5 linked regions of the Oryctolagus cuniculus genome follow. The protein of the gene in region 2 interacts with the protein of the main gene of each other region in a pairwise test. Links are inferred from orthologs where the notes say so. Each region holds a gene or a part of one and is shown on either strand. Other genes may lie near its edges. The genes, in order: MUL1, UBE2E3, CNOT4, RNF111 and RNF167.

Evidence for each region.
Region 1: the proteins of UBE2E3 (region 2) and MUL1 interact in a two-hybrid assay, tested with the Homo sapiens proteins (2 studies listed by BioGRID and IntAct). The link is inferred for Oryctolagus cuniculus from reciprocal best matches to the Homo sapiens genes UBE2E3 and MUL1.
Region 3: the proteins of UBE2E3 (region 2) and CNOT4 interact in a two-hybrid assay, tested with the Homo sapiens proteins (3 studies listed by BioGRID and IntAct). The link is inferred for Oryctolagus cuniculus from reciprocal best matches to the Homo sapiens genes UBE2E3 and CNOT4.
Region 4: the proteins of UBE2E3 (region 2) and RNF111 interact in a two-hybrid assay, tested with the Homo sapiens proteins (2 studies listed by BioGRID and IntAct). The link is inferred for Oryctolagus cuniculus from reciprocal best matches to the Homo sapiens genes UBE2E3 and RNF111.
Region 5: the proteins of UBE2E3 (region 2) and RNF167 interact in a two-hybrid assay, tested with the Homo sapiens proteins (2 studies listed by BioGRID and IntAct). The link is inferred for Oryctolagus cuniculus from reciprocal best matches to the Homo sapiens genes UBE2E3 and RNF167.

What each region holds. Positions count from the first base shown.
Region 1 is NC_091438.1:150,240,912-150,245,684, reverse strand, and holds the start of MUL1 (mitochondrial ubiquitin ligase activator of NFKB 1), read right to left. Parts: upstream 3,225-4,773; 5' UTR 3,108-3,224; coding exon 2,988-3,107; intron 2,063-2,987; exon of another isoform or gene 1,890-2,062; coding exon of another isoform or gene 1,842-1,889; intron 10-1,841; coding exon 1-9. UniProt on the Homo sapiens protein: Exhibits weak E3 ubiquitin-protein ligase activity. E3 ubiquitin ligases accept ubiquitin from an E2 ubiquitin-conjugating enzyme in the form of a thioester and then directly transfer the ubiquitin to targeted substrates.
Region 2 is NC_091434.1:59,977,130-59,981,039, forward strand, and holds the start of UBE2E3 (ubiquitin-conjugating enzyme E2 E3), read right to left. Parts: upstream 2,309-3,910; intron 1,881-2,308; 5' UTR 1,856-1,880; coding exon 1,662-1,855; intron 1-1,661. Other genes in the region: translation initiation factor IF-2, read left to right, coding at 2,585-2,983, 3,060-3,910. UniProt on the Homo sapiens protein: Accepts ubiquitin from the E1 complex and catalyzes its covalent attachment to other proteins. In vitro catalyzes 'Lys-11'- and 'Lys-48'-, as well as 'Lys-63'-linked polyubiquitination.
Region 3 is NC_091434.1:171,179,586-171,183,651, forward strand, and holds part of CNOT4 (CCR4-NOT transcription complex subunit 4), read right to left. Parts: intron 1,177-4,066; coding exon 964-1,176; intron 268-963; coding exon 1-267. UniProt on the Homo sapiens protein: Has E3 ubiquitin ligase activity, promoting ubiquitination and degradation of target proteins. Involved in activation of the JAK/STAT pathway. Catalyzes ubiquitination of methylated RBM15.
Region 4 is NC_091443.1:81,954,355-81,958,420, reverse strand, and holds part of RNF111 (E3 ubiquitin-protein ligase Arkadia), read right to left. Parts: intron 2,711-4,066; coding exon 2,618-2,710; intron 1,478-2,617; coding exon 1,382-1,477; intron 1-1,381. UniProt on the Homo sapiens protein: E3 ubiquitin-protein ligase. Required for mesoderm patterning during embryonic development. Acts as an enhancer of the transcriptional responses of the SMAD2/SMAD3 effectors, which are activated downstream of BMP.
Region 5 is NC_091448.1:51,300,220-51,304,950, forward strand, and holds the start of RNF167 (E3 ubiquitin-protein ligase RNF167), read right to left. Parts: upstream 3,233-4,731; 5' UTR 3,096-3,232; intron 2,958-3,095; 5' UTR 2,540-2,957; coding exon 2,456-2,539; intron 2,372-2,455; coding exon 2,291-2,371; intron 1,490-2,290; coding exon 1,364-1,489; intron 1,254-1,363; coding exon 1,166-1,253; intron 983-1,165; coding exon 892-982; intron 732-891; coding exon 626-731; intron 503-625; coding exon 409-502; intron 1-408. Other genes in the region: SLC25A11 (mitochondrial 2-oxoglutarate/malate carrier protein), read left to right, coding at 3,557-3,651, 4,217-4,369, 4,456-4,662.

The sequences.
Region 1 (4,773 bases), on a different chromosome or scaffold from region 2:
TTTAGCTCCCTAAATGCAGAAAGAACATATTAACCAATACATCCTGACACGTTCAATCAACTGAAAGGCAAAAAAAAAACTTTTTTAAAAAAAAGATTAATTTTATTTGACAGGCAGAGTGACAGAGCCGGAGGGAGAGACAGAAAGATATCTTCCATTATTGGTTCACTCCCCAGATGGTCACAACAGACCAGGCCAAAGCCAGATGCCTGTAATTCCATTCAGGTCTCCCACGTGGCTGGCAGGGGCTCAAGTACTTGGGGCATTTTTTGCTACTGTTTCCATGTTGAGAGAATGAGGAAACTGGGCATAGGTGGAGAATGTAATTTCAAAGCCCTGCAGAGAGCTGTCACACACACAGGCACAGGCAGCCTCCTTCCTGCACACCCCACCATGGGGAACGTTGTGCCACCCAGTAACTAAAACATACACTCAAAACATAAAAGGCACCGTCAGTCTGCATACTGCGCACTGGTCACCACTCAGTCTCTTCTTGACAACAAAGAGCTATGGCACAACAGCTTAGGTAAAATCACCTAAACCAGGGCAGCTGCTGTGGCTCGGCAGGTTAAGACCCCGCTAAGGATGCCCGCACCCCACACCACAGCACCGGTTCAGGTTAAGGCTACTCCACTTCCAATCCAACACGCCTGCTAATGCATGCTGGGAAGCAGCAGATGACGGCTCAAGGGCTTGGGCCCTGCCACCCACAGGGGAGACACAGATGGAGATCCAGCACCAGGCTCCTGATTTGGGCCTGGTCTAGTCTTGGCCGTTGCAGACATCTGGGGAGGGAACCAGCTGATGCAAGACATCTCTCCATCTCTCTCTCTCTCAGCCTTTACAAGTAAACTAAAATAAAACAAACAACACCCCAGGCACTCAAGTATGAGATGCAGGCACCCCAAGTGGCATCAACTGCTATGCTACATTCCTGTCCTCAATAAGTCTCGAGAAGGCAGGTAAGTGCCCTCTATAGAGGTTAGAGTTACTGGACACATATTAAAAGTCACTGACTTTAAGAAGCTATGGCTACACGGCGAATGGCAGGAGAAAAGTCAACAAAAACTTCATTAGCACCTACACAGCAGCAACAATTACTTAGTATTACTTAGCTCCTCCACTGGACTGTTAACCTCTTTGTCTTGTTCACTGCTGTCCCATTAGTGCCAACAACAGGCCAGACACACAGCAGGCACCTGGTCCATATTTGACTATAAATCAGTGCTTAAACAAGCACCTGGCTACACCACAGCCCAGGCACTGCCGACACAGGCAGGATCTGACGTCCACGCCACCTGCCAGGGTAGCCATTGTCATCCCTAATTACTGAGAAGGGAACAGAAGCCAGAGTCACATGGCTCGCATCCATCACAGGGCGGCTGAGGAGGATTTTAAAAGGGGAGGGGCGAGCATGGCTTCCAGGCTGGGGGGGGGGGGGCTCTAGAGCAACTTGTCTCCAGTCTGTTGTGAAAACGGAAAAAGAGGGGGAAACACGAGCTCCTGGGATTTGTATGCAGGTTATGTGACCTTGGATCCTAGGGGCTGGCACACAGCTGAGACACAAACCCTACTTCGGCAGCTTTCCAATGTGATCAAGAAAACAGAGCCCCAAGTGTCGGGGCCGAACTTTCTCCAGGAAGGGGCCACCTCGTGCTCATCCAGGAACTAATTGGCAAAGCTTTTAGGGTCACCCAAAGATGGGACCTGCAGGGTTCTCCCTTCGAAGCACCTACAGCCAGCCACTGCTAGGAGACACTGGTTTGGGAGGCAGAAAGAGCCGAGCACTTCAGGCGTGACTAGATCATTTAATTAGGTGAACAGGGCAGCTGGAATCTCACCAGGGGGCCATTTGCACAGCGAATTGAGCGCCTGGTAAATTGGTTCATTTCAGATCCCAAACTCCCTTCTCCGCAGGGATGCCACACGTTTGTTTCCAAGCCCTCACAGAATCCAGCCCATGATAATGAAGTGTCAGTCAAGCCCCAGCTGCGGCACTGAGGCGCTCCAGCCAATACAGGCCCAAGACTCTTCTTGCACTCCAAGCCCGGAGCTAGAACCCCTAAGAGAAGAAAGAGAGAAAACCCTGTCTCCGACCTAAGAGACCCGTCTCTAGAAGAATCAGATATTCCCAATAAAGCAATGTGGCCAACTGGAAAAAATAAAAATCTCACTTTTGGAATCAAACAACCGAGGTTTAAAGTTCCAAGCTGTCTAACTGTAGTACCTTTTTCCTGAACCTCAACTCCCTGCTTTGCTATTTAAGGGCAATTATCATTTTATCTACCTTAAAAAATTATTGTGGGAGGCCAGCGTTGCGGCCCAGCGGGTTCAGCTGCTCCCTACAGGGGCGCCGGCTGGAGTCCCGGCTGCTCCACTTCGGACCCGGCTCCCTGCCAGTGCGCCTGGGAAAGCAGCGGAGATGACCCAGGTGTCCGCGCCCCTCCCAGGGAGCTCCTGGCTCCTGTCTGGCCCAAGCCCTGGCCACTGCGGCCACTCTGGAGTGAACCCGCGGAGGGAAGATCTCCTCCTCTCACTTCCTCTCTGTAACTCTGCCTTTCACAAAACTCTAACATAAAACGCAGGGCCCGCAGCAGCAGGCGCAGGCCCCTGTCTGAGCCGCTCCTCCGCCCCCTCCTGCACGGGGCTCAGACGTCGCTTCCTCCGGCCCTCCACGCCCGTCTCACCACGTGGCGTGCGTGTTTACTGCCGCCCGGCGCCGCTGCCGGGCGTCCCCGCGAGAGGCTGCTCACTGCCCCGCGCACGGCACGAGCCCCACAAACGTGTTAAAAACCAGGCAACGAAGCCGAGCTTCCAGAGTGAAGGCACCTGGGAGAAACGCAGCCGGGCGGCGCTTCTCACCGCCCCGACGTCGGCCCTCGCTCCTCCCCAGCCTGCGGCCGCGGGGCGGCCCACGCCAACTCAGCCCTCACCGCGACCTGGGGCGGAGACCACCTGGCTGAGGCCCGGCCGGCTCCCGCACTGACCTTGAGCTCTCGGGAGACCTGGGCCTTCTGCCGGTACACCGAGTACAGCACGGCGGTGACGACCGAGCTGGTGCCCAGGAGGATGAACTGGCCCAGCGAGGGCTTCCCCCCGCTCTCCATGGCGGCGCCAAGCCCCGGGGGCAGAGCGACGCCCAGGAGTGACCGGCTGACCCCCGCCCTCCACCTGGGACACCACCCCCCGGGACGGCCCTTCCCGGAACTTCCCGCCCCGTCGCCCGGCGATGACGTAAACGCCGGAACCGGAAGTGGGGCAAAGTGGCCCGGAAGTGGCGTTGCTAGGGCAACCGCCGGGCTCTTGAGGCCCGCGGGTGTGGAGAGCCGGTTTTTCGCGGCTGAGCGATGGCACACGGCGCCGTGACCGTTGTCCTGTCCACCCGCGGCGTCCTGGCCATAACTGACTCGTCCCAGCCCTGTGGTTTCCTGGAGTTCTTGGGTCGTGCGCTGTCTCCACCCTTGGATTGGGAGGAAAGAGAAGTGTGTGTTAAGCACTTAGGAGTGTCGATGCGTTTAAACCTGAGGACAGACTTTGAGGCCTGGACTTTATCTTGTCCGCTTTACAGATGGGAAAGCTAAGGCCAGAGAGGTTGGGGGCTGTGCTCCGAGTCCTCCTCCTGGGGTTAGGGGTGACCCGACTCCAGAGCCCTCATGATGCCGCTGAAGTAGCCCCTTCTCGGCCATCACCGAATGAAAAGTACTGGTTATTAAGTAGCTGGCATTGCATCTACTGAGTGCCTATTCTGTGTCAGGTACGGAACGGAAAGTGCCTTAGGCCTCCACTGACTCCTCGCAGCCCTGCGATAGTGCAGACTGCAGATGCAGGGGCCGGCCCGGGCGCGGGCTTCGGACCCAGGTGGTCCTTCTCGGAGGCGCTGTGGGACCTGCAGTGCACCTGCTCCCTAGCAAGCAGATCTGCAGAACCCTGCAACTCTGTTCCCTGGGTCATCGCAAAGCGTGCTTTCAGTTCTTGGAAATGCGGAATAAACCTGTCAGTGTAAAAACGTGGCTAGAAACGAGATCGCTCCACAAAAGTAAAATAACTTTTTAAAAAGCAGCCGGGGGCCAGCTTTGTGGCTCCGTGGGTTCAGCCTCAGCCTGCAACTCTAGTATCCCATATGGTGGCTGGTTCCTGGCCTGGCTGCTCTACTGGGGATCCAGCTCCCTGCTAATGTGTCTGGGAAAGCAGCAGAGGATGGCCCAAGTGAGTGGGCCCCTGTACCCACATGGGAGACCCAGATTAAGTTCCTGGCTCCTGGGATAGGCCTGTCCCAGCTCTGACAATGCATTGGGCCATTTGGGAAATGAACCAGTGGATGGAAGATCTGTCTCTTTGTCTCTCTCTAACTCTGCCTTTCAAATAAATCTCTTTTTTTTTTTAAGATTTCTTTATTTATTTGAAAGAGTTACACAGAGAGAGGAGAGACAGAGAGAGGTCTTCCATCCGATGGTTCACTCCCCAATTGGCCGCAACAGCCAGAGCTGTGCCAATCAGAAACCAGGAGTCAGGAGCTTCCTCCAGGTCTCCCACATAGGTGCAGGGGCCCAAGGACTTGGGCCATCTTCTGCTGCTTTCCCAGGCCACAGCAGAGAGCTGGATGGGAAGTGGAGCGGCCGAGTCTTGAACCAGTGCCGGTGCCTCAGGCCAGGGCGTTAACCCACTGCACCACAGCATCGGCCCCTCAAATAAATCTTTAAATAAAAGCAGCTGGTTATCCATTATTTTTCTAGTCTATTCCTTTAAGATGCTTAGAATCAAATAGAAATCTTT
Region 2 (3,910 bases):
CCTCTTTGTTCTCAGAGGCATAACCCAAATCCCTGAACAGAAACTTTGCAGCTTTTTTTCTCACTTGCTACTGTAAATAAGTAAGTCATTTACACCTGATTTGAGAAATAGTCTTCCACTAGCAGTCAGGAAAGGTTATGAAATCTATTTTAAAACACTTTTTACCAAAGAAATTCTCTTTTCAAGCTTATATGCAAATGAGAAAAAAGGGAGGAGGGAAAGCACTAGAATATTTGACAATGACTTCGAGTCACTTTTACTGCGGTAAAAATGAACAAGCTACTGCAGAAATACATTAATAGTTCTGACAATATTTTATCTGTCCCCAAAAAAGTTTAAAATGTACAATTATCTTTACCAGTGAAAAACTTCCAAAGACTATTTGGCATTCTTATTTAACCATTTGTTTTCCCTGATCTTAGACACAGCACTGAAATGTAATGAATTTGGGGGTGTGGGGGAGGATAAGATATACAGCCTTGAGTTAAAAGCAGGGCAAAAAGTAGTTCCCTGATTTTCTTCAAATTTAAGACTCTTTCAAAACTTAAAATGTGTTTAATATATTCTCCAAGACTACAATAAATTGCAGATTTAAATTACATCCAAGATTGAAGCCATTTGATAAAATATTCTCAAGTTATTAAAACCTGGTTACTGATATAATAAAGGTGTATATCCATTAAAAACAGCATTTCTGAATCACTATAAAATGCAGTTATTTGATCAGCTTTTGCATTTTCTTTTTCTTTTAGTTGTAGTCAACAACAACAAAAAATCAAAATGTCACTGCTGGTTAATACTGCAGACACATTTTACGTGTAATTACAGTTCCACAAGGCACTCCACTACTGCTACCGACCGAGTCTCACTGACAGAAGCAGTGTTTTCCCCTCATAGAAAATAGAAATCAACAAGAAACAAATGATCTTTCACTTACACCCAACAAAATATGTTTCTCCTGCTGTTGAATATTAGTGTGTCAAGCACACCTAGGAGTTTGAGTGAGGAGTCAATGACAATTTCAAAGACAATGAAAGTTTCCAATTAGCAACTGACACCTGAAATGGAAATGGCTACTTTTCAACTGCATTTGCCTTCACAAGATGAAGGGGGTAACCACCATTTAACTACCAAAAGTTATACCCTTGATGCAGAAGTAAAAGTCTTGTTTGAAAAAGTGAAATCGATTCAGGGCATAATTTTCAATCTGCTTTCAAATACATAGCCAAGGCCTGGGATTTATAAGTTTCCCATCCAACGTGATCATTTCTGATCATTCAGCTGCAGAAAGGGGAGCACTGCTGATCAATTCCACCATAGAAGGTATGACCCACAACAGGAAACATCCCCTGTGTACCACCTCATCTGGGTCCACCAAATTTCTCCTTGCCAATTCCTTAATCTGTCAGAATGCTAGTCCAATCTCCAATCAAGGACGTTCTCACTGAGGTTACCAGAGTACACAGTAAGTTTGCTTAAAAGTACAATTCTAGCAAGGTCGCTCATCCGACCACCTCCTGAAGAATGACATCTCATTCAGGTACAAATCCAATTGGTCGTGAAGTATTTCTCAACTATCAGTAGTGTGTAAAACCAACAGAAGCAGCAGACCATTTGTAAGACAGCCGGAGGGTGCCCTCGCCCCTCGGTTTACACATTACCTTTTAGCACTAGTGGATAACTTAGCAGTGGTTTTGCTAGAGAGTTTGGTGTTCTTCTTCTGCTGGGTGGCAGAAGGTTTTCTTTCTTCTTGTTCCTCAGGCTCTGGAGCGGCTGGGTCTCTCTGGTCCGCATCTGAACTGCCACTGCTGGTGCTGGGGCTCTCATCGTCGGACCTCTGCCTATCACTGGACATCTTGGTGAAGTGACCTCTTGGAAAACTTTTGAAGAGAGGGAGGGAGGGGAAGGAAAGGTTAGCTCTAGGAAATAAACCAGCAGCATTCTCTCCTCCTGGGAGACCCCTAAAATGGTATTTTAATGAAAAAGCGCCAGGAGGGTTCACACTTATCTCACCGTGCACCAAGGTTACAGGGGAGGTGATGTGTGTCTCTCAACACCAGCACGCAGGGACTGACCGGACTCAAGTTAGAAAACCCACTCACATTTTTCCCCCAGCCCCTTGGACAATCTATCAATTGTCTACTTTCTGAGAAGGCATGAGACAGATCTGCCAGGAAACTTAACATATGACACGCTGTAAATAACAGATCTCGCTGAAAAATGTGAAAAAGTCACTAATAACGTCTAAATATTTACACACTGACATTGGTCAAAGCCACCAAATTCCCCTCCCGAGAGGAAAACATACCCTGTTAATCGCCCATATGCTTATTTAACGTGGCGATCCCCCCCCCCCTCCTCTGTGCACGTAAAGCCTTCAAACACTACACTTAAAAAATTTTAAAAATCAACTAACGAGCTGCTCCAGCCGCCTCCACGGCCAGCAGCGAAGACTCAGCCGGCCAAGACCGAGCTGCCATCCTGGGAAGAGCAGAATCCAAACTGCACCTTCTGCAAAGCTCCCAATGCCACCAAGGTCCCTCGCTCAATTTTTACATCACGGACCGACATTTTGTCCAAAATAATGAGAAGAGGAGGGGGGGGAAAAAAAGCCCAGAGGCAAAACAAACAAACAAACAAAGCCCCAAGAAGTGCAACAAATTTCCGCGCCCGCCGAGGCGAGCCGGGGCCGGCGGCGGCGGCGGCGGCAGCGGCGGCCACGCAGCTCCGCGGCCCTTTGTGGGGAGGGCCGCGCGGGGGCCGCGGGCAGCGCTCGCCGCGCCGGGCGCCAAGTGATGCGAGCGGCCCGGCCGGCCCCGCCGCGGCTCGCGGACACCGGCGGCGCGGGCGCCCGGCGCGAACAAAGCTGCCCGCCCCCGCCCCCTCCCCCACCGCCGCCGCCGCCCCGGCCGCCCCCCACGCGGCCCCCCGGCCCCGCCGCCTTACCTCGGCCGCCCGCCCGGCCCGCTCGCGCGCCGCTACGGTGTGGGGGAGGGAGAGAGAAAAAAACCCTTCCTTAAGGAAATGGAGGCAGCTGGGGGGGGGGAAAGGGGGGGGAGGGAAAAAAAGAAGCCGAGGAGGCTCTGGCCGGGGAGTGTGGAACATTGAAAGTCGGAGGGGGTTGTGCAGTGCCGGGCTCCGGCCGGAGGGTGGCGCCGCCCAGCGCCTTCGGGAAAAAGTGGGGGGTGGGAGCTCGCCTGGGCGAGGGCGCGAGCTCCCGGCGAGGCGGAGGGGACGCGGGAGACCCCCGCGCGCTGTGGCCTCCCGCCGCCGCCGCCGCCGCCGCCGCCCGGCTCGGCTCCTCCCGGCCGCGCAGTCAGCAAGTTCCGAGGCGAGCGCGGGGGGAGGGGCGGGCGCGGCGGCGGCGCGCGTGCTCGCTGCTTGCCTGGCGGAGGGGCGCGCGCCGCCGGCGGGCACGAGCCGTTCTCGCGCGCTCCCGCACGCTCGCTCTCCGCACCTCCCTTCACCCGGGGGGGCGCACGCGTTCGCCCGCGCGCGGCCAGGACAAAGAGCGCGGCGGGGACCCGGCGGGCTGGCCCCTGCCGCCCTGGGCCGCGGAGTCGGTGCAGGAGGAGGCGGGGGCGCGAGCGCCGTCTCGCGGGGCCGCCGTGCCGCGGGGTGGCTTCCGGCCTGGGCCCGCCTCCGGGGCGAGGCTGCCCATTGGGCTACCCGCCTCCCCGGGGCTTGACTACATCCCTCGGACCTGCGCGGGGGCGGCCGTGCGCCTCGGGTCCTCAGTAGCCGAGGCCAGCCCTGGACGCGTGGTGGGGAGTCCCCTGCTGCTCCGGGAGCCCGGAGATGGATGGGTGTTGACGAGCCGGGCTCGCGGACCGGGGAGAGCTGCGTCTTGCCCCTCCTGTGAGCAGAGGCAGGGGCAAGGTAGGGTCCTGGGCGTTGAAGGAGGCAGAAA
Region 3 (4,066 bases), about 110 Mb from region 2:
CTGTGGGGGTTTTGCTGGGGGGTCTGAAGGCTGTCTGAAAGCCTGGGGGTGGGGAGTGGAAGCTGGAAGGATTTGAAGGAGGAGGGTAGGGATTCCAACTGGCTCTGTGCAGAGGGATCTGTGTGCTGAAGGGGGCGCTGTGGTGCGTCTGCGACGGAGCAGCACTGGGGCCGTCCATCTCTGTGAGGGCCTGAAGGGATTTTAGCCAGTGTGGAGGATTGTCGTCTTGAAGAGAGTCTAAACTGTTTCCTGAAGATGCTGGAATACCTAAAGGAGAGAAAAGAAAACAAAGAGGAAAAATGGTGAGTTTGTGCAGAAGGAATAAGTTTGCCGAAAAAATTTAGAAAAAAACAAAAGGGGTTAGTTTCTCCAAGAAGGAACCCCAAGGAAATTATGACCTTCAACCCCTTCCACGTAAGATCTTTTAAACCTTATGCTCCTTTCATCCTCCCAGCCACAACGACCACGATTTACTGTCACATGAACCCTTGACTTCAACTACACAAACTTAGTCCCCCAGTGTCACAGAGGCGGAGCTGCAAATGATTACCCCGAAGGTGGTACTTCCCAATCATGCTTTTCCTTCTCTAACAGGGATACATCAACAAGATAGCCTTATAATAGAGAGCTTTATTTAAAAGAAAAAAAAAAGTGGAGTATGTTCCTTATAAGAAGGCTAAAATCAGATCCTTTTGCACTTTGAGGCCTACAAAATACACGCATGCTGCCAGACATTAACACCTACTTAGACCAAAAGAAGCAAATGAGGCACCCAATGCCTTAGGACAGGACTAGGCTGATAGGTTCACCAAGACTGCATGACCTCTGAGAATGAGACAAGCACCCCACGTTCGTGACTTTGTAAAGAGAAACTTTTGTTGAAGAGACTTCTGTCTTAATATAATCTGTGCTAAAAACCAAATCGATGGCAGTGAGTGGAGCTGAAGGGAGTGAGAGAGTTACCTGTGATGATGGCTGGGTCTGTCCAGCTGCCAGGGCTGTCCCAACTCAGGCTTTCGGTGGTGGCAGTGTTGGACGTTGGTGCACTGTGGTTGGCGTTGGAGGGGGAAGAAGAATTGGGCAGTCCACCAAAGTTGATGTTAATGTTGGGTAGAAGTGCCCTTAGCCCGTCCTGCCATTCCTTCATATTTAAACTCTCTACAGAACTGCTGTTGTCTGGGAGATTTACCAACAAAAAATGAAAGATAAAAAAAAAATAAAAAGCTGACGTTAGAAACATGTGTTGTTCTTTAGTGGTTAAGCGGGAGAAGATTTACTCTTTCTTTACTGAGCATTTAAAATAAGTTGTCCTAGCAAGATAAACGTGGTTAGGATTCTGCTCGTGAGCTCAGAGCCCCCGAAGTAAGTGAGAAAACTTGCTTTAGGGGCAGGACAAGGAGTTTCTCATCTGTCTCGAGCAGCTTCACCATTGCGTGTGTGCACGTCACAGTCCAGTGTACAGACTCAGTGCTCGGGAGCACAATCTGATCGATGCCACATTAGGAAGTGTGTCAGTGAGGCATCTGGCCAGCTGAGCGCTACGAAAAACGCAAGTCTGCCAAGTTCACTACAGGAGCCTATTTCTGAGCCCGCTGAATGGAAAAGTCATTTTCTGAAGGATAAACACAGTCAGTAGGAAAAGAAAAATGATTAAGTTCTTCTGATTATAAAATGATATAAATGTTTTTTAGAGGTGAAGGACGGTAATGAACAGGCTTCTCTGAGTTTGAAAAGAACATTTTCCTGGTAGTGCCAAGAGGCAGGGGGCTAAGACATCTCTTAGAATAATTTCCAATACAGTCTGCCTACTGCCCTCCAACAGTTCTGCCTATCATTCAACACCTGACTCCTGGGCTCCTACAATTTTCTGGATCCAGTTATGAGTTACATCAAATAAAAGACACTATCAATGAACAGACTTTATAGAAATTGTGACTAACCTGATCTACCACCATAGGTAAGCCTAACAACTGCTTAGAATATAAGAACACAGGCCAAATTACCAACTGGAGTTTTTGAAAAAAAAAAAAAAAAAAAAAAGGAAAAATATTTTTGGCTCTACAGAATTGAGGATGATAATGAGGATGGCGATGATAATGATGTTCTATGAGGCACAGTCTGTCTGATCTGGTGAATTTGGAATTTTCTTTCTATAATTTTGCTTTGTATCAGTCACTGCTCTGTGCCACATTACATCATGCAAATGAACCTTTAACTTGACTAACCTTATTTATAAAAAGACCAAAAACTACAACCAAATCCGATGAAAGCCATCTCTGAGGTTACTAAGATGAAGAAGAAGTACCTTACACTTTACAAACAAGACAAAAGGGGAAATATTCTTCAAACATCTTTTCACAACTGATATAATTTACTAAACCTCACCCTTCTTAAATTTCCATGCTATTTTACATTTGTAGTGCTGTAACATTTGTCAAGGCACTTCACAGCCAATTACTTCATTATCCCCACAACAGCCCTGTGGGGTAGGCAGAGGAGGAGGAATAATCTGCATTTTATAGAAAAAAAAAAAAAACAGACTGCAACATAATTTATCCAATTTCACAGGACTTATTACTGAAAGAATGAATCAAGATTCTATCTAAAGACTCTTTGTTAAAGTAGTACCAAACTCTCTATGTTGATCTTCTTTGTGTAAACTAATCGAGGATTTTTTTAAATGGGTCAAATATGTAAGGGAAAACCTGCAACCTATGAGACAAAAAACACAGAATAATTACATTATGTCCATTAGCTATGGTTGGCAGGAAAACTGGTCATTTTGCAACCAAGAAAAAAAAATTCGAATCAAAAATAAGATCATTAGAATTTCCCTTTGGCTCCCTAACTGCACAAGACACAAATGAGATCACAGTGACAAATGGAAGTCCTAGAATACCCTCATTTACAGGAAGGCTTGGTGTCCAGGGCAAATTCTAATCTTTGAAGTAGTCATATCACCAGGTTGAACAACTTAAAATGGTTTCTAATTAATCAAAAAGTGAACTCTAAAGAAGGGAAATTTCAAAGAAGGGACATGAAATTCCCCTGAAATTAAAAAAAAAAAGGATGTATAACTATATGAAAAAACTTTCAGGAAGACAAGTGTTCTTGAAGTATGTGGCCACAGTCATTAAAAAGAATCCACACAGGGACCAGCACTGTGGTGCAGCGTAAGGGTAAGCTGTTACGGAAGATGCTGGCATCCCATGTGGGAGCACTGATTCAACTCCTGGCTGCTCTGTTTCTGACCCAGTTCACCTGCTAATGCACCTCGCAAAGCAGTGGAAGACAGTTCAAGTACCTGAGCCCCTGCCACTCATGTGGGAAACTTGGATGGAGTTCTGGGCTTCAGCCTGGCCCAACCCAGGCCACTGTGGCCATTTGGCAAGTGAACCAGTTAAAGGAAGATCTCTTTCTCTCTGCCTCTCCCTATCTCTGTCACTCTGGCTTTCAAACAAAAAAATATTTAAAAAGAATAAAGAAAGAAAGGGGGCTGGCATTATGGCATAGAAGGTAAAATTGCTGCCTATGATTCTGATTTGAGTCCCAGCTGCTTCATTTCCCATCTTGATCCCTGGTAATGGTCCTGGAAAAGCAGCAGCAGATGACCCAACTGCTTGGCCCCTGCCACCCACATGGGAGACTGGATAAGATCCTGTCTTCTACATAATCCAGCCGTGACTGTTGCGACCATCTGGGGAATGAACCAGCAGATGGGAGATCTCTCTCTCTCTCTCTGTCTCTGTAACTCTTTCAAGTAAGTAAGTAAATAACTAACTAAGGAGAGAGAGAGAGAGGGAGAGGGAGAGGGAGAGGGAGAGGGAGAGGGAGAGGGAGAGGGAGAGGGAGAGGGAGAGGGAGAGGGAGGGGTAGAGACAGGAAGACAGGGAGGGAAGGAAGGAAAGAGAAAAAGAAGAGAAAGAAGCAAGCCTATGCAGGGGCCACTGCTTGGTGCAACAGGTTTAGCCGCCACTGGTGACGTCAACATCCCATATCATAGTGCTGGTTTGAGTACCAGCTACTCCATACTTCCAAGCCAGCTTCTGGCTAATGCTACTGGGAA
Region 4 (4,066 bases), on a different chromosome or scaffold from region 2:
CTACCCAGCATCAAAAGTAAAATCAAATTTAACAGAAATACATTAGTTTGAAATCTATTACTTTTAATCCTCAATGAAGATTCCAAATAATACAAATTCTATTTTTGTTCTATCATGAGCATAGTTAAATACATTTTATTTTACTAATTAATATTTCAATAATATCCATATAAATTAATGTTACAGTATTTAGACAGTTGAAAGAACTTAAATTTAGTTGCAACACTTCACTAATACTCTTATAAACAGATGAAAAATATAAAGAAGAGTCATTTTTACACCTTAATATTATTCTCTGTATAGCACAGAGCATCATTTAAGAAACTTATTTGACATGTCTACTCTTAACTTCCAAGGAAGGAAATATTAGAATTATAGAGCAACTAAATATCCATCAAGGTAAGTGATTACTTAAAAAAAAAAAAAATTACAGTATTGTCATGATGTAAACTATTAAGAAGAATGTAGCTGTGGCTTAGTAGGTAAAGCTGTGGCCTGCAGTGCCAGCATCCCATTAGGGGTGCCAGTCCAAGTCTTGGCTGCTCCACTTTGGATCCAGCCCCCTGCTACAGGCCTGGGAAAAACAGCAGAGGATGACCCAACTGCTTGTGTCACTGCTACCCTATGGGAGACCTGCAGAAGGCTCCTGGCTCATGGCTTCGGCCTCACCCAGACCCAGCTGTTGTAGCCATCTGGGGAGTTAACCAAGTGCCTGGACTATCTCTCTCTCTCCCTTTCTCTGTAACTCTTTCAAATAAGTAAATAAATCTTGAAAAAAAAATATATAGGTGAGCTGAGTACTGACAGAATACAAAGGCAACATACAAAACTATCTGCACATCATCCTCTTTGTATTATGTTTTAATGCAAAAGAAATATATGTGTGTGTGTGTGTGTACATTATAGAAGGCACAAAAATTCTGGAAGAAGAATTTATTTCTGTACTTCCAAGAAAATGTTAATCCTAAGTATATTTTGCTTCAGTAATAACAGAGAGTGCCAGCATTCCATATAGGAGCCGGTAAGTATCCTGACTGCTCCACTTCTGATCAAGCTCTCTGTTAATAGCTGGGAAAGCAGTGGAAGATGGCCCAAGTGCTTGAGCTGCTGCACCCATGTGGGAGACCTGGAAGAAGCTCCTGGCTCCTGGCATCAGATTGGTCCAGCTCTGGCTGTTGCAGCCATTTGAGGAGTGAAGCAGTGGATAGAAGACTGCTCTCTGTCTCTCTGTAACTCTGCCTCTCAAATAAATAAATCTTTAAAAATAAGTAAGTAAATAAATAACATATCTACTAGGTTCCACAAGTTCAACGGAAAGCCATAATACTGAACGTTACACATTTCAATAATATTCTAGAAGTTTCATGGAATAATTTCTTACCTTTTTATATTTATGGGGATATGTACATCTTTCAATTGTCCCCTGGGATGCTCCACGATTGACATTTCCTAATCTTTCTTCCAAATGAATCAGTTCCTGAAAGGGAAGGGTAACTACGATTAAAAGCCAGGACGATAATATTTTAAACAATGTTGTCAATACTGTACAGGAGTAATAATCTTACATTTGACAAGGTAACAGTTTGTTTACACAACAGTTCTTATATATGGTATAGCAAATGATGGTTTCAAAATTTTTTGCTCAGCCACCTGAAGTAGTTTCACAAAGTCATCCTTATAAATTTGGGTAACAATATAAGTATTACCACATGGTATTACAAAATCAGTAAGTTTGTACACATGTAGAAGAAATCATTCATTCTAGCAAATTAGGGAAGCAAATTAAACAATTTTCATAAATCATATCAACTGTAATTTCTAAACTAACATGAAGAAACAAGGACTTGAAATATTTAGCTACAAAGTAAATTATTTAAGCTATTTTTGTCTCCAGCAATGTTTCACTAAAAATTAAGCTCAGGCAAAGGCAAAGGTTTGGGGCTGGCTTTGTGGTGCAGCAGGTTGAGCCGCTGCCTACAATACTGGCACACTGTATGGGACCCAGTTCCAATGCTGGCTACTCCATGTCTGATGCACCTTCCTGCTAATATGCCTAGGAATGCAGTGGAAGTTGGCCCAAGTGCTTGAGCCCCTGCACCCATGTGGGAGCTCCTCGCTTTGGTCTGGTGCAGCCTTAGCCCTTGTGGTCATTTGGGGAGTGAACCACAGGATGGAAGATCTGTCTCTCTCTTTGTAATTCTGCAGATTTATTTATTTGAAAACACTCATGGGATGCTGGCACTGTAAGCAGAAGCTTTACCCAATATACCACAATGCCTGTCCCGAAATAAATAAATCATTAAAACCAGAAAAAAAAAAGCATCAAGGTTTTCCCCATACATTAAATTATATTGTTCACTATTTTTATACTGATTTAATATATCTTTATATTTAGATATTTTAATTTATTCTTTAAATACTTTTTAACCTAAGATTAATGTTTCCTATCAAATTTTCTATAACCCCAGAAGCAATATCAGAAAATGGTACATTTTACTGCTTCATGATTCCCAGTCATTGTATTAGTCCTACGTAATTATGAATACTAGCAACATATCTATATATATATTCTTCTGCACTGAAAATACTGTGATACATATCTTCACTTATTACATACCTCAAAATTGCCCCTGAAAGGACCTCTGAATGATGTTCCATCCAATCCTGATGAAATGTAACGGATATGAGGATAGCCTGCCATGTCAGGAACCTGTTTTAATAAAAAAAAAAAAAAAAAAAAGACAGACTAAATCAGTTAAGAACAGATGTGTAACTGACTATTAACACTGAATAATTCAAGATATTCATTGCTCTCCAAGTACTCAAAAATTCAATCAACCTTAGTAAATACACATAAGTACAACTAAGCATTCAGTAGTGGGGCTGGCACTGGTGTAGCAGGTAAAGCCACCACCTGCAGTGCCAGCATCCCATATGGGTACCAGTTCTAGTCCCAGGTGCTCCACTTCCAATCCAGCTCTCTGCTATGGCCTGGGAAGCAGTGGAAGATGAGGCAAGTCCTTGGGCCCCTGCACACGTGTGGGATACACAGAAGCTCCTGACTCCTGGCTTCAGACCAGCCCAGCTCCAGCTGTTGTGGCCATCTGGGGAGTGAACCAGTGGATGGAAGAGTGGATGGAAGACCCCTCTCCCTCTCTCTCTCCCCTCCCCTCTCTCCGTCCCTCCCTTCCTCCACCTCTATGTAACTCTGTCCCTCAAATAAATAAATCTCTAAAAAAAAAAACCTCTCATAACACTAACAATATGATCAGAATAGAAAAAAAAAACAGTTGTTTCATGAAATAAAGATTTCCTGATTTACATAAAGAATCCTATGTAGCAAACACTCTCACATAATCCTGATGCTCTTGGTACCTCAAACTTCAAGAGGAAAATTATATGACCTTATTATTATTTTTTTTTTTTGACAGGCAGAGTGGATAGTGAGAGAGAGACAGAGAGAAAGGTCTTCCTTTGCCGTTGGTTCACCCTCCAATGGCCGCCGCGGCTGGTGCACTACAGCCGGCGCACTGCGCTGATCCGACGGCAGGAGCCAGGTGCTTTTCCTGGTCTCCCATGGGGTGCAGAGTCCAAGCACTTGGGCCATCCTCCACTGCACTCCTGGGCCACAGCAGAGAGTGGGCCTGGAAGAGGGGCAACCGGGACAGAATCCGGTGCCCCGACCAGGACTAGAACCCGGTGTGCTGGCGCCGCTAGGTGGAGGATTAGCCTATTGAGCCACGGCACTGGCCCGTGATCTTATCAATAGATAAAAATGCACAGAATTTTCCAACAAAACTCAACCTCAAGATAATAGTCTTCGTGCCAGTGCTGCAGTTTAGAAAGCTAAGCCTCCACCTGCCGTGCAGACATGCCACATGGGCGCCAGTTCAAGTCCCAGCTGCTCATTTCCGACCAGCTCCCTGATAATGCAGCTGGGAAGGCAGAAGAAGATGGTCCAAGTGCTTGGGCCCCTGCACCCACGTGGGAGACCCAGAAGAAGCTTTCAGCTTCTGGAGGAGCCCCAGCCATTGAGGCCATTTGGGGAGTGAACCAAAGAATGGAA
Region 5 (4,731 bases), on a different chromosome or scaffold from region 2:
AAGGGAAGTGGGTTTGAGGGAGGAGGTGGGGGGGGGGTAGGAGGAGCGGAAATGGGGCCGGGCTTCTGTTATGGCCTTATATGGGCACTGGAGGCTCCAGGGCCAGGAGACCCGGCCTCTCCTTACCTGGTTCTTCGTTCCCTGACTGCATCTTCTCCACTCCCATATTTCTGCCCTCTGCACCTCCTCCCTCATAAGCAAAGTCCATTCCTGCATTATCTCCCCAGCTGCCTCACTCCAGCACCTTTTCGTCCCATCTCCCGTCCCCACTGATTTTCTGGGTAAAGAGAAAGGTGGCACCTCCAGTTGAGGCCCTCTCACTGCCATCTTTTTCACTCCTCATCGCCCACGTCAAACTCAGAACCAGGTAAGCTCTGAAAATGGCTCTCCTCTCCCCTCGGCCCTTACCCTTCTGATAATCATGCGTAGGAATCTGTCTCAGCTGCTCTTTGGTGAGTCGATTTCGCTGGAGCCGTTTCCGGTGCTGGATACAACGAACTATCTGGGGGAAGGGAGGTGGACGGATCAGACTCAGAAGAAAACCGGACAAGTGTGAACTCTGCCTCCAGTTCCAATCTGGGTTCCTAAGTCCAGCTCTTCCTATCATGTCCCCTGAGCTACTCACCATCACCGCTCCCATGGCCAAAACCAGCAGTCCCACAATCCCGGTGAACGGGATGAGGTAATAGCCCAGAGGGAAGCTGTTGTCTGGAACCAGAAGCACCCGAGCCCTAGGGAAGGGACAACAGTGTCACAGGGGCAAGAAAGGCCGGAGGACAAAGCACACAGGACAGAGTAACTGGTGCTGCGGCCACGGGGCGGGGCGGGGCAGGAGTGACCTGAGCTGAGTGCTGGGGGCCAGGAGGAGAGGGAGGGAGGCGCGTGTCCTACCCCTTCTCATAGACAAAGAGGGCGCGCAGGTACTCGGAGCTCCTCTCCCCGATGAACACTGACGGGATCCAGATCTGCTGCTGGATTTCCTCTGCAAGGAGCACGCTGTTGGGGGGGCTCACCCTCCACTTCTCAGGCCCTCGGGGAGCCCTGCCGGCTGACGCGTCTGTCCCCTCCCACCCAAAATACTGGCTGCTTTGGCCTGAGCCGTCAGCCCTCCCACCAGCTCTGTCAGCTCTCCGACAAACCCCGCCTCGCAGAGCCACCCACTTACCACTGTTCCACACCATGTTCAGAAGTTCGTTGGAATTCACGTTGTGCACCACGGCTGCCCCGTACCCGGCCTTCTGTGCATTCAGGACCTAGCGAAACAAGGCAGGGGTAGGGAGCCATCATGGGCCTTGCCTTGCTTCATTTCTGGTCCACTCTTTTTCACCCTTAGCTTCCCAGCTCCCACTCCACGTTCAGCAACCTTGAGGTCAAAGTTGCAGTCGAATCTTCGAAGCAGTGCAATAAAGACTGACCCATTGACCGGGGCTGGGGGTGGTGGGGCAATGGGGCTGCAGGCATTGTCTGGGTGAGCCTCCACAAGGAACCCCTGCGGGAGAGAGGCAGATGACAGTTAGGTTTCTCCTCTCTAGGTTCTGGCCCCCCCATACCACACAGCCTCTGTCCTCACTTCCTTCTCACTCCTGGGTCTCGGCACCCCACCCAAACCAGAGTCTGTCTCCTCCCTCAGCCTCCTGAAAGTGCAGCCACATCAAACAGCTGCCTCTCCCGTCCCAGGTCGCCTGCCTGCACGCCATACCTACACTGACGCAGTCCCGCAGATTCAGCTTCCCCACAGATTGTAATTCCATTCTCTACGCAGCCACGTTTTCCTAAATTGTTTTACATTCGCAGCTCCAGTCCACACTGCCCTCCCTTCAGTCAGTTTCCCAACTACCCATCTACACCCAAATCTGCAGCCCACCGAGAGCTGCTATGTGGCAGCCCTGGCAATAAAGTCCTGCAACGCCGCTTATCCAATTGTCACTAATTTAACTTATCTAATTGTAATCACGGTAACTCTGAAGTAACTTCCATGATCACCCCACTTCGCAGTAATCAAAGGCTCAGAGAGATGATATCGAAGGTCATGCGACCAATAGCTGGCTGGGGACCCTACTGCTGAGCGCCAGTCATCGCCTTTGCAGTCTCCGGGTAAGCCCAGAGTGGAGAGTGGGCACTGTCTTCTTCCCCTAGATTCTGGATTCCACGCATGTTCACGCACTTCGATCCTAACCGGACTCTAACTATCCCCAGCCAGACCCGGGGCATGGCTCCTCAACCCCGCCCAGGATGGAGGATTTGGACAAAGAGGGGAGGGGAAAAAAAAAAAAAAAAGAACGCCAATCACCTGGAGTCCCTCCTGGCTCAGGGAGGCCCCAAACAGAGCTGGCAGGTCTGCAAAGTCCATGCTGGCATTGTGCTCCGAGGTCTGGGGGCACAAAACGTCCACGTTCCCCTCCGGCCCGCAACGCCCCCCTCCGGCGCCCTTCCTCCACCCGCCCCACAGACTCACCGCTCGGATGAGGCCCCGGATGGGGGCTGCTCCCCACAGCACGGCGGCCACAACCACAGGAAGCGGGAAGGCCGCGCGGTGCATGGCAGCGGGCGGGGAGAGGCCGAGGAGGCCGCGGCCCGGGAGCAGAAGCAGAAGCGGGGCTCTGCGCCCTCCCCGCCGCTCCCTCAGGATCCCAGGGGTCCAACCACCCCCAGGTCCCACTTCCCAGCTACATGGGGGCGCCGGGGAAGGAACCCCGACCCGGGGAGCGAGGCCCCAAGCCCGTTTAGCGGAGCTGGGTCGGAGACTCTAAATGGACCCTTTTCTGGATTGGGGACAAAACGGGGAGAGGGGACGGAAGGAAACACAGGTGACAGCAAAACTTCTGGAAGGGTGGGGGAGCCCCGGGAGGTGGGACTTCCGGCCAGGTGGGCCGTCTTCCTATCCCTGGGAAAAAGGTTTCCGACAAAGAGTCAGGCCGCTTCCAGCATTGGCCGCTCAAGATGAAGGACTTCCGGTCCTGAAAGGCCGGTTAAGAGAAAAATTAGAGATGGAGGGATTGTCTGTGGAAACGGAGGGCGCACGGCTGCCCCCCAGAAGAAGAGCGAATCATTTCCCCCTTAGTGCCCGGGAACCTGGGGCTTCCCTGTTTACAAACCTCTCCGCTCCCTGTGGCCGCCGCTGCCGCCGCACCTGCAAGTCTCGCGAGAAGGCTTACCAGCCCACTCCCCCGCCCCCACGGCTGCCGAAAGCTTGCTCTACATATCGCGAGAGCCCTCCTAACTCTGGGAGCCGGACTGACTAGATCTCGCGAGACCTCGAACAGCTTGTCTAGTTTCCCGCGATTCCAAGTCGGTGAAGACTGTGCCTATACGCCAGTTTCCAACCAAGCCACGCCCCTTCCCGCACGCAGCCTTTAAGCTCCTCCTTCAGGGTCGCCTTACTCCCGGCGGCCTTTGCGCTTTGCGCCTGCGCGGGCGCCGGCTTGCAGCTGGTGCTGGACCTGGGAGCCGGAGGGGCGTGCGCGCGCGCCCTCGCCCTGTTGCGCGCGCGGTGTCACCTTGGGCGCGAGCGGGGCCGCGCGCTCTCGGGACCCGGAGCCAGGGCCATTGAGTGGCGATGGCGGCGACGGCGAGTCCCGGGGCCGGCGGGATGGACGGGAAGCCCCGTACCTCCCCTAAGTCCGTCAAGTTCCTGTTTGGGGGCCTGGCCGGGTAAGCTCAGGCCCCAGGGATGGGAAAGGAGGAGGAAGGGACGGACGGGCCCGGTTCATCTCTGGGACTGTTTCAGTGAACTGAGCCTGCTTGAGGGTCAGCGCGATCCCCAGCGTGTTGGGAGGTTCCTGATGGGCTGCCCCTGACTGCATGCAGGGTCTTGGCACGATCCCCCACCCCGCACCTCCCCAGTCCGTTGCTTGGTTCCGCAGGGCTGTTTAGGGTTCCATGACTCTAGGGGACTACTTAGTGCCCCAGGTCGTGGATACGCCCTTGGCCCGCTCCCTGGGTCGCACTGCATGCGGTCCCGGCCCACCGGGCCCACCGATGGACTCCCGTGGATCTGCTTGGAGTAGTTTCATTGCATGACCCCTAATGGACAATGGACTTTCCAGAACCCGCTGCTGTTGGTACACACAGAGACTGTCAGACACATGCCTACCAGCCCTCCTTAATCCCTAATCCGAGGCAGGCCCTGACCTTAGTAACCCCTTGTGCTAGGCTGCAGTAGGCAGCGGGAGATCTTGCACACGTGGCCCTTGACCCTGCTCCCACCTTCCTCCAGGATGGGAGCTACGGTTTTTGTGCAGCCCCTGGACCTGGTGAAGAACCGGATGCAGCTGAGCGGGGAAGGTGCCAAGACCAAAGAGTACAAAACCAGCTTCCATGCCCTTACCAGCATCCTGAAGGCGGAAGGGATAAGGGGCATTTACACCGGGTACTGGGGCCTCCAAGGTTGGGGGGAGGGTGTGGGTTTGGCAGATGCAAGCCTTGGCCCCACACACTGACCCCTCTGCTCTCCAGGCTGTCAGCTGGCCTGCTGCGCCAGGCCACCTACACCACTACTCGTCTTGGCATCTATACCGTGCTGTTTGAGCGCCTGACTGGGGCTGATGGGACACCCCCTGGCTTTCTGCTAAAGGCTGTGATTGGCATGACCGCAGGTGCAACTGGTGCTTTTGTGGGAACACCAGCGGAGGTGGCTCTGATCCGCATGACTGCCGATGGCCGGTGAGTTCCAACTCGGAGCCTGACCTCAGCCCCGATCCCCGGGATCTAGAATGAAATGACTTGCTTTTC